3 linked regions of the Nothobranchius furzeri genome follow. The protein of the gene in region 3 interacts with the protein of the main gene of each other region in a biochemical or structural test. Links are inferred from orthologs where the notes say so. Each region holds a gene or a part of one and is shown on either strand. Other genes may lie near its edges.

Region 1 (3,422 bases), on a different chromosome or scaffold from region 3:
TCATTGACTGATGGGCGAGTTTTCTTTGGAACTGGAACAAGGCAGGATGTCTTCCACAGGACTGGAACCTTCTCCTGGGCCAGGCTGAGGTTGAAGAGGTGCTGCAGAATCCCACAGAGCTGCTCTGCACAGGCCTTCAGTACCCTGGGGCTGACCCCATCTGGACCTGCAGCCTTGTTCCTGTTCAGTCTCTCCAGCTGTCTCTTCACCTGACTTCTAGAGACAGATAGGTGGGAGGGGGAGGTAAATGGGGCAGCAGCATCTCCTGACTTGGTTGAATACAGATTTATAGAACCAGAAGAGTCCATGACTGCGTTAGAGGACAAAAGAGCTGGCGTGTGACAGGAAAATGTTGGATCAGAGGAGGATGGGATGTCTGATTGACTGGGGACAGGCGAGGAGGATGCTGGGTTTGTTCCTGAACTGAACCTATTGAAGAACTTGTTCAGATCATTGGCTGTGTCCAGGCTGCCATCTGTGCAATCCTTCCTCTGCTTGAAGCCTGTGATCTTCTTCATCCCTGACCAGACATCTCTGATATTGTTCCTCTGTAGTTTGTTCTCCAGCTTCTTCCTGGATGCCTCCTTGCTGTCTCTGATCTTGATCTTCAGTTGTTTCTGTATACTCCTCAATAATTCCCTGTCTCCCTCCTTGAAGACTCTTTTTTTCTCATTTAGATTCTTCAGTTTACTGGTGAGCCAAGGTTTGTTATTAGCGAAGCATCTCACTGTTCTGGTGGGTATGATGTTGTCCACTGATCTAGTGTGTAGACCCCCTCGTCTCTGTTCATGGTTCCGTGCCCACGTCTCCATATCTCTATAGCTTCCTTCATCCATCTTTTGTATTTCTGTTGTTCGGTGTTTATGATCCTTGTGTTGTTCCAGTCCATTACATGGTTTTCTCTTGTGCAGTGATCTGTTGCGGCTGACTTCTGTATTGAGCTTTCTGCTTCTTGTCTTGCTGCTCTTGTGTGTCTTCAACTTGTTACTTTTTCACTCCTTTCCATGTTCTACTGTTCTTGTGTCGAGTTGGCGTCCGGTTTCTCCGATGTATATTTTATTGCAGAAATTGCATGGCATTTCATAAATGACTCCACACTTATGTCCTGCTGATGTCCTGACGTGTGTGCGTGTGTGTGTAACCAGTTTGCCCCGCTTGTTGATATCGAAAACTGCGCTGAACCTGCTGCTGTGTATTTGTTTGTATTCGCATTTATTAAATCCATCTTTTGCTGTAAAAATTGCATTTAAAATGATGGAAACGCTGTGTTTCTCCACAGGAGTGTGTGTGTGTGCGTGTTTGTTCAGGAGTGTGTGTGTGTGCGTGTTTGTTCATTTTCATCCCTCTAGTCTGTTTAGATACACAAAAATGATCACATTTATCAATGTTTAATTTTGACTTTTTTTCTTTTTGTTAAATTTGCCGGCCTGCCTCTTCTGTTTCGGTTTGACTTCCTGCCAGAATTGACGCGGCTCACGAAAAAATTTGAGCTCCAACGATCGACGGCCGAAACGATCGCTGCGCGGCGCGAGCCTTCGTGGCAGGCTGATGTGACAGAGGGCGTGGGTTAACAAGGTCGCCGATTAGAAGCGCTCGTCGTTCGACGGCGCTTCGCTGCGCGTCGTCGTGCTTCCACGTCCAGTGTGTTCCAGGCGTGAATGTCTTCAACATGACCAGGAAAGTCTTGCTGTTTTCACCTAAAACTCTCACGATGATCATGTCTAGGATGACGCCTACATGCTGCAGCAGCGATTCGGTTAAAGGGAAACTGAAACGTAAATGTAGCTGCTGTCAGTAAGAAACTAAGACTTAAAACATTAAAACGTTCAACAGACTAGTTAAAAAAAAGAGAAATTTCTCACAACTTTGCAAGTTGTGAGATTTTTATGTGAATATTATTATTATTATTATATTTATTATCCCTATCAGCTCCTAATGACCAGAACCCAGTGTGGTCCACCACAGAGAAAGCTGCTCTATCATGACTTTAACTATTTTACAGGTTGTTGCTCAGCCTTCCGACGGTCACGCTCACACAGACGAGTGTTGGTGAGTGGCTGCGTTTGACTGCTGATGCTGTGTGTTTTTATTTCTGCAGTGAGACAAACTCACCTCACGGAGTTTGTTCATTAAAACTCGTGGGGAATCCACCGTGTTGAAGCATTCTACCGAGCTTCCTCTGCACCGTATTTTTTGCTGCAGGAATTAAACTTTACTTTCTGACGTTAAAAGTTCAGCAGACGCGTTTGTTTACATTTTAAAGTGTGAGGGAGTTGGGGGGGTCGACGCTGCTCCCAGGGTCTCTGCAGGCTACTGCACAGTGCAGTGGCTGCATGGTGACGCAGTGGTTAGCACTGTTGCCTCGCAGCACAAAGGTCGCAGGTTCGAAACTCGGCTGCGGCCTTTCTGCATGGAGTTGCGTGTTCTCCCCATGCATGCGTGGGTTTCCTCCGGGTACTCCGGTTTCCCCCACAGATTCTTCTTCTGGCCGGCAACCTGGGAATCAAACCTAGGAATTGAAATAAAAAACTCTGAATGATTCCAGGGAAAACTGACGGTTAGTCCCGGCTCCAATCGACGCTCGATGCCCAACCCTAACAATAACACCCTGGATTTGAAATTCTTAATTGTTAACTACTTCAATGAGCGCCCTATAAAGGGTTAATAATGTTTATTCTATTCTTTTCTGCCACAAGACAAGTCGCGTCCTCATCAGCTGACTGTCCCGTTTTGAATCCTCCAACAGAACCGTGCGTTCTCTCAGACAGAACCTACCCCCTGGTTCTTGCGGAGCTGCCTGCTTTGATCTGTTGTGGCTCCCTGAGAGAACCACCGCAGAATCATCTCCTCCTCCAGGATCTCCAGCTGGTACATGTTCATTAAAACCTGGAGTGTAAACAGAAAAAGTAAATGAACACATGGAAACATCCACACGGTCACGAGAAACTTCCCTGACTGATCCAGACCTTCACCATCGCAGCCCAGTGGCCCTCCTGCTCCAGGAAATGTTCCTCAAAGGCACCCAGGCAGTCCAGGTGGTCCTGTGCTCTCTTCACATAGTTCTTAAAGACTGGAGCCCACTTCTTCAATAACTAAGAGCAGAAAAAGAAAGTTACTTATGTCTGAACAAAAAAAAAGTAAGCATGTTTGCTTCATTAAGTCACCGGCAGGAGCAGAGAAACATATTGTGAGGCGCTCAGATGTGCATCCTGCTGCTGGAACGGGTACTCCAGCACCACCCGGGTTAAAATCTGCATCACCTCCTTCAGAGTGATGTTGTAGGCATACCTGGACAAAAACAAGGAGTTCAAACAAACAAAAAACGCAAAAAAAGCATAAAACAGAGTTCAGAAACTTGACCTACTTCAGAGAATTTATTTCAAGCACAAGATTGTCACAGCTGATGTTCTCCTCCAAGCCTC
Region 2 (3,655 bases), on a different chromosome or scaffold from region 3:
TATCACTCGGTGACTACAAGGGCACAGAAATGGATGATTTCCTCATGAGAAATCATTCAGTTACTTTTGAATAAGCGGATGAAAAAACTAGCAGTTATTCCACCTCTTAGGCTGCGGTTAAACGCTGTGGTGCAGATGATCCCCAAACAGTTCGAATATTGTCATCTAGGGACTGTTCTGCACAGACATGGAGAAGCATGTGGAGGAATCTAGAGCTGACTTCTTCACTACTGTCCTCACTCTGGCATTGCTGGCTGGAGGGACGAGGAAACGCCATGATCTAATGTAGATCAAGATCAGCACTGTGGCTTTAAAAACAAATACACTCATGTCATGTTTATAATAAAATTATTCTTAAGATAGCAGTGTTCATCAGCTCAATAATGCTTCAACCAAGCTGTATAATGAGGCCTTCTGTTCTGTCCCACCCGACACACAGCGATGCCCCTCCAGATAATGGTGGAAAAATTTACCATAAAACAAGAGGGGAAATCACCGATTTGGTTATTTTCAGATTATTTTTCCTACTGCCTCTGCAGATTAAAGGCATTATTTTAAATAAAAAGCTGTTGCCGTGCTCTGATAACATTTCCAAGGGTCTTTTCTTCTTTGCCATCCTGGCATTTTAAAAGGGAAACACTGGGTGAAGGAGGAGGAAACTGCTAGTTTCTTGTATTCTGGGCACTGTTGTCTTTTTGCCCAGCATCACATTGTTGAGAAATGTGAAAGTAATTTAAACTAGTGGGTAAAGCACAGACCCGGGACACTGGATCCTGTTGCTGCTTAGATATGTGCGGATCTGTCAGCTCACTGCTTTTCATGGCTTCTGACTGGCTGCTCTGGATGAATTGTAAACAATTGTTTGTGGCTCTGCAGACGGTGTGTGCTGTAACTGGCACTGTGGTGGACCAGAGGCTTAGTGTGAGGCCAGTTAGTGTGTCTGCAGTCTGTCCACCTAATGCTCTTGTTCACAACTGACTTGAAGCTGTCAACGAGTGTGTGTGTGTGTGTGTGTGTGTGTGTGTGTGTGTGTGTGTGTGTGTGTGTGTGTGTAAACATCTGTCGAAGTTTTATCACTTTGATTCCTTATAAGGGTTTGAGGACAGCAAATCCCTCATGGAGAGCATCATGTGCCCCCCTCTCCCCTTCCTCATCCTGTTTAAGCTCTGATGTCACCGCTAGTTTAATACTACCCCATAATCGCCCAGACCTTACTCACCACCTGTCCCATTCCACTTTCTGCTGCTACCTCCTGCACAGCTATGCGCTACACATGCTCTTGAGAGACAATTAAACAAAATAAAGATGAATTCCCCACTAGGCTTTTTGATCTGGTGTGTTGCCTGGAGATCCCAATGAGAAAGGGTAGATGCTCTGAAAAACGACCAGCAGTGTGTTTTAGCCAATCCTCTCGGTTGTGTGTGAGTTCTTGTTAATGATGGAGGATCTGTTGCTAAAGGGTGGCAGCAGCAGGTCTGGTGGAGTGTTAAAAACAGGAGAAAATGATGAAAAAAGTTTTCATGTGTCCCAAAAGAAATGTGAGCGCAGACCAGCAAATGTTGGAGGTGACCCATAACTCCTGAACCTGTCGTTCATGAGGTAGCATCACCCAGTTCCCCCACTTTCTCTTACCTGCTCCAAACAAATGGGCACATGCAGGCGAACGGTTTATTTCTGTGATTTTTATGTTTTTTTCCTGTTTTTAGGGGAAAGTCGGATAAATAAAGTTCTTAACTAATCGTAACAAACAGAAAAGAAGACTTTCACTGGCAGACATGAACAAATGATCTGAACACTCACAAAATAATTTCTCATTATTTGTTCATGTTTAAATAAAAGGAGCGCTTTTGATGTGAAACAAGTGAAAACATTTTTGTTGATTTTTCAATCGTCTGAGAAACAAATAATTCACCTTGTATCTTTTTATTGCAGCTGCTTTGCAGCATTGGACATCGAGAGGAAAACTTTGGGTTTACGTATGAAGAAATTATCATTTGGTGAGTTTTATTCTTTTTTCAAGTTTATTAGGTAAATTTTTTTTTCTGTGAAAAGTAAAGCTAGATCCATTAAAACAATAATTACATCGATTCTTTAAAGCGAAAAAAATATATAAAAATCATTAAGAGCATAAATTGATTTTATAACTTGTTCTTCTTTAGTCTGCGGCTAGCTCTACTAAATGAGGCCAAGGAAGTGCGTGCTGCAGGTTTGCGTGCGCTCCGCTACCTTATTAGAGACACCATTGTGTTGCAGAAGGTCCTCAGACTGCAGGTGGATTATTTGATAGCCAGGTAAGATTCTGCTTCAGTCAGGGTGGAAAATCACTTGTGGAGACCTGATGTGTTTTGTTTCTTACTCTGTTTTGTGCCTGTTTCAGATGCATTGACATCCAGCAAAGTAATGAGGGGGAGAGAACTCAGGCTTTGCGACTGGTTCGAAAGGTAAGATAAATACGCTTATCTGAGTTTTTCTAACTGTTTATAGAGTTTATGTCATGTCCACAGAGGAGTTTCGGGTTGCTGCTGACTTGTGTCAGCACAGCGGCACCAGAACGGTCCTTTGGGTCAGCAGCAGTGTCAGGCTGGTTTGTAGAGTCTGCAGGCCAAGTTATTTATAGCTCTTCTGTAGTTTACTGTCAACAGCGCACACATGCACAAAGTGCACTGTGGTTTTGAGCGTGGACTATTGACCACACTGGCTGTACCATGACCTGTGTTACTGTTGTAACATAACGTCATGATGTTAAAATAGATTTATGTTCATACTAGTCTACACAAAGTTTTCATAAGCTAATACTGAGTTTGTTTAATTATACAAACAAAACATTTGATCAAGTTTTCAGACCCTTTTGTCTGTTGACATCTGCAGCTGAGCTCAGGTGCATTCTGATTAATTTTCCAGCGCTCGCTCCGATTGTAGTTTGCTACGATTCAGAAAACAAACCTGCACACGTCTCTCCTGTGTGGAGTGTTTCACCAGACACAACAAACAAATGAGTCTGCAAATGCAACCAGACTAGAGAGAAGCATCAGGGACTCGAAAATGGTGGCACTGCTTGAAAATATAAACCACTAGAAAGTATAAACGTGGGAGTGTTGGTCGGGTTTGAGTGGCTTTGTGTTTACAGATACAGAAACTGGCAAAACTTTAAGGGATGGTGTTGTTTATGATACTTGATGGGACTTTATTTTCCAAGGTGACCATGATACAGCTGTCTACATACAGTCTCACAGTTGTACTTATCATGTACCAACAAACGCAGTCTGGTTCCTCTCACCTGATCGTAGATTGTAATCTAAGATTGGCACAATACAAACAATAACAATCTGGTGTTGAGCAGACCTGTTTAATGTTTTTTTTCCCTTTCTCTCCTCCTGTAGATAATAACCGTCAATGCAACGCTGTTCCCCACCTCTGTTGCAAATTCTCTCATTGCTGTGGGGACGGATGGACAGCAGGAGAGGGACCGCATGGTTCGAGCGGCAATCGCCATCGTATGTGAACTAGGCGAGTACCTGGCATTTAGATAGGGACACACATCAGACATGGGAAGCATCATTAACTCTGTACACACAGGCGCAGGATGAGGAGTTGTTGATAAATGGTGGTTAGAATGGGGAAAAAAAGGTAGTAAAAGATATGATCCGTTTAAGTT
Region 3 (3,373 bases):
TCTAGGCTTTTACATGTTGACAAATGTGTTAGCTGTCCTCAAATACCTTTCGTCGAGCAACAGTCATCTTGTTGATTTGTGTCTGTAATTTGTCGTTCAGGTCTTCCGGCCTCGCACACCTCCAGAGGCCATCGCCTTGTGCTCTCGCCTGCTAGAGTACACGCCCACAGCGCGCCTCACCCCTCTAGAGGCTTGTGCTCACTCCTTCTTTGACGAGCTGCGTGACCCCAATGTCAAGCTTCCCAACGGCAGAGAGAAACCCTCGCTGTTTAACTTCACCACCCAGGGTACGCGCCACAAACACGAACAGTAACAGCTGAAATCCTCTGTATTTTCTTTAGTTTGTGCTTCTTTACATTTTGCTTTCAGAATGTCTTGTTGCCATCTGGGAGTTTATCTCCAGGGTGGCTTTGTAACAACATGACCTGATAACTTATGTTCATTATCTTTCAGAGCTATCCAGTAATGCCTCTTTGGCCTCCATACTCATCCCAGCCCACGCCCGCAGCCAGGCCGCCGCCTCCACTCCAACCAACGCGTCTGCCACCACAGGTACCTGCAGAGCTTTCTTCTTCAAAACACTATTTTTTTTATAATTCAAGAGGGCAGAACTTCTGTAATCACCACCTTGAAGGAAACATTTATGGCATCAACCCTCAACAATGACTATTCTATTCTAAACAGATTTAAATGGTACGTTATTGAAACTCTTTAAACAGTTCATTGCATGTTTGAATACATTTTTTACAAGAAATTTGATTTAAATAATAAATGTGAAACTCAGAATCTCTTCATTATCAGCAGATGGTTTTGAGTTTTCTGGTTTCCATTAAAAGCAGCATCACTGACTTTGCTTTCTGCTCACAGACGGCAGCAGCACAGAGCGAGGTCCCAGCACCACCACCGCCTCCGCCTCCAACTCCATCTCCTGAGCCCACAGAACTCCCGGCCCCGCCTCAGCCCACAGCCCCAGCCCACAGCCTCTTCATTGCCCTGACCAGGGGGTGAGCTCCGATCGGCTCTGCTCCTGCCTCGCTCTCCTCCCTGGCAGCGGCGCAGCTATGCTGAGGCAGCCTGGGTTCAACAGCTAAACAATCCCCCTCCCACCCCCAAAAACACAGGCATCCCTGAGCCCTCCCCTGACCCATAAGCAGGTGTTCGAACTCCTCCCCTCCTCCGTTAAAGGCACCTGAAAGCGAAGCGTGGGCCGCCTGTGTTGCTGACTGTACTAAACTTCACACGTATACACCACGCTAGACATCCACAAGAGGACAATCTGTAGAAAAGTCCTTCGCTGTCCCCGTCAACCTGTCCTCTCCTTATATTGTACCGTTTCCCTGCATCCCCCCACTTCTCCCCCGTCTCCCTCGGTTCCTTCTGTAGTGCATGACCTGAGTACAATAAGGGGAGGGGGCACTGTCATGTCCTCTCACCACTACTTCTGCAAACAAGGCATGAGGCTCCCGCACGCGTAAACACACACTCAAGACACACACACGGATGCATGATGATCCTATGTGGAAGGGAGCAGTCCCGCCTCGAGGAGGGAGGAGGAGGGGTAGAATTATTTGGACATTTGTTTTCTTTTTGCCCGGGGTTGTTTTTAGGCATTAAGCTCTTTTATTCTGTTTTTATTTTATTTTTATTTTGTACTCCTGGGCAGATGTTATTTGTTTTGGAGGGTGTGTGATGGGCGTGATGTGTATCTGGTCCTGTGTGCTTGTATGATTTATACATACAGTACAAATACGCATACACACTTTATATAATACTTTTCTTTATGTATAAAAAGTATATATAGATTCTATGTATATTATCTACAGTGGTTCAGAAATCATTTACGGTGAGCTCATATCTGGTGGAGCCGTGGCAATATTTGCTGCCGCCCAAAGACGACAGACTTCACTAAGTTTTTATTTTGTATCTGGAGTTGCTGGCCTCCGGCAGCCACCTCCCTCTCCTCCTGTGTAGATGGATGTAGGGTGCTGCTCTGCTCCTTTTGCCTTCGACTCCGTCTAATATCGCGTCTGTGACGATGCAACGTGTCCCCCAGTCCACCTCCTCCTGGAGACTTCCAGATGATCGCTTTTTTCTTGTCTGGGCTGTTTTCGAAGCCCCGGCGGCGGTCCTCGGTGCACCGCAGGCTGTCTCATGTCGACGGAAATGTTAGCCACGTGTTTGTTTTCCCCTCCTTTCCACCTACAGCACATAGAGCCGCTCACTACAGGCTGACGAATTATCTTCTCTACATTTAAAAAAGAAACAAAGAAACTGAATTTGTACATACAGCCTAAATGCTCCTCACCAAAACTCGTACGTCTTGTATGTTAATTTTTTTATGTTGCGTTGAGTCGTTTTCCATGTTGTGTTCACCGTATGTATATATACGCAGACCCATGTACTGTTTATGAGCAAAAACAAAGACGGGGAAGAAAGAAAGCAGGAAAACATTAAAATCAGGGCAAAACTGATGTTTATGGGTGTGTTAGAAGATGATCAGCTTTATCCAGCCATATGTTCAATCTTTACCTGTACAGTTCATTAGAAGACCGCTGTATTATTGTAACAAGGACTAGTCATGTATAGTGTAACTATAGTTTGGAGTGCCTTTGCTTTCATACACCTTCGCCTTGTCTCCACCCTCACCCAATGTTGTGACTCTCCCTTTGGTGCTGTTGAATGTCGTGCTACTCACCCCCCACCCCAATCACACAGCAGTTGTATTATAGGCTTTAGAGGTAAGGATGGCTCTCCTTACTGCAGATTCACTAGACACCTGTTGATTTTGGTAGATGTTTAATCCCCCACACCCACATGGACTGAGGTGGGTGGTGGCAGGAGGGGGGGGGGGGGGGGGGGCTGGTATACTGTACATATAATACAGTAGAGACTTTGTGTCACTGACAGTGTTGGTTCTGTTACCAAAGCCAAACGTTGATGTAGTTGTGCCGAGCCATCCTCAGAGGCAATAACTCCTTTTTCTCTGTTCTCTTGCTTGCGCCCCCCCCCCCCCTCCTAATTCTGTTGGTGGGAGGGGGTTCAGTAGCACCGAAGGGGTTGAGTCAAATAGCCCCCACCCCCCCATCTCCTGCTTGCTGTAATTTAGCATTCATGAGCGTATTGCTACCCTCCACAAGGTTTGACCACTTTAACCTAACTTTTAACACCCAGTTCATCAAAATACTAGAACAGTTACCCAAAAAAAAAAAAACAAAGCAAGTATAAATACTAGTATCATATACTAGCTTACAGATGTGCTAACTGGGCCTACCTGGGATTAAAGAGAAGAAAAAAAATATTAAAAAAAAACTATTACAAAAACATCCTGTATAACAGTACTACTTGAATGCCTTTGTTTGTGACTGAACTTTTT

The links.
Region 1: of the proteins of gsk3ba (region 3) and eif2b5, one has a biochemical effect on the other in vitro, tested with the Homo sapiens proteins (2 studies listed by BioGRID and IntAct). The link is inferred for Nothobranchius furzeri from reciprocal best matches to the Homo sapiens genes GSK3B and EIF2B5.
Region 2: of the proteins of gsk3ba (region 3) and rapamycin-insensitive companion of mTOR, one has a biochemical effect on the other in vitro, tested with the Homo sapiens proteins (2 studies listed by BioGRID). The link is inferred for Nothobranchius furzeri from reciprocal best matches to the Homo sapiens genes GSK3B and RICTOR.

What each region holds. Positions count from the first base shown.
Region 1 is NC_091751.1:63,546,898-63,550,319, reverse strand, and holds part of eif2b5 (translation initiation factor eIF2B subunit epsilon), read right to left. Parts: coding exon 3,365-3,422; intron 3,289-3,364; coding exon 3,165-3,288; intron 3,093-3,164; coding exon 2,967-3,092; intron 2,887-2,966; coding exon 2,776-2,886; intron 1-2,775. UniProt on the Homo sapiens protein: Acts as a component of the translation initiation factor 2B (eIF2B) complex, which catalyzes the exchange of GDP for GTP on eukaryotic initiation factor 2 (eIF2) gamma subunit.
Region 2 is NC_091757.1:36,636,625-36,640,279, forward strand, and holds part of rapamycin-insensitive companion of mTOR, read left to right. Parts: intron 1-1,932; coding exon 1,933-1,997; intron 1,998-2,159; coding exon 2,160-2,291; intron 2,292-2,377; coding exon 2,378-2,441; intron 2,442-3,380; coding exon 3,381-3,507; intron 3,508-3,655. UniProt on the Homo sapiens protein: Component of the mechanistic target of rapamycin complex 2 (mTORC2), which transduces signals from growth factors to pathways involved in proliferation, cytoskeletal organization, lipogenesis and anabolic output.
Region 3 is NC_091754.1:24,487,328-24,490,700, forward strand, and holds the end of gsk3ba (glycogen synthase kinase-3 beta), read left to right. Parts: intron 1-100; coding exon 101-287; intron 288-453; coding exon 454-552; intron 553-867; coding exon 868-932; 3' UTR 933-2,852; downstream 2,853-3,373. UniProt on the Homo sapiens protein: Constitutively active protein kinase that acts as a negative regulator in the hormonal control of glucose homeostasis, Wnt signaling and regulation of transcription factors and microtubules, by phosphorylating and inactivating glycogen synthase (GYS1 or GYS2), EIF2B, CTNNB1/beta-catenin, APC, AXIN1, DPYSL2/CRMP2, JUN, NFATC1/NFATC, MAPT/TAU and MACF1.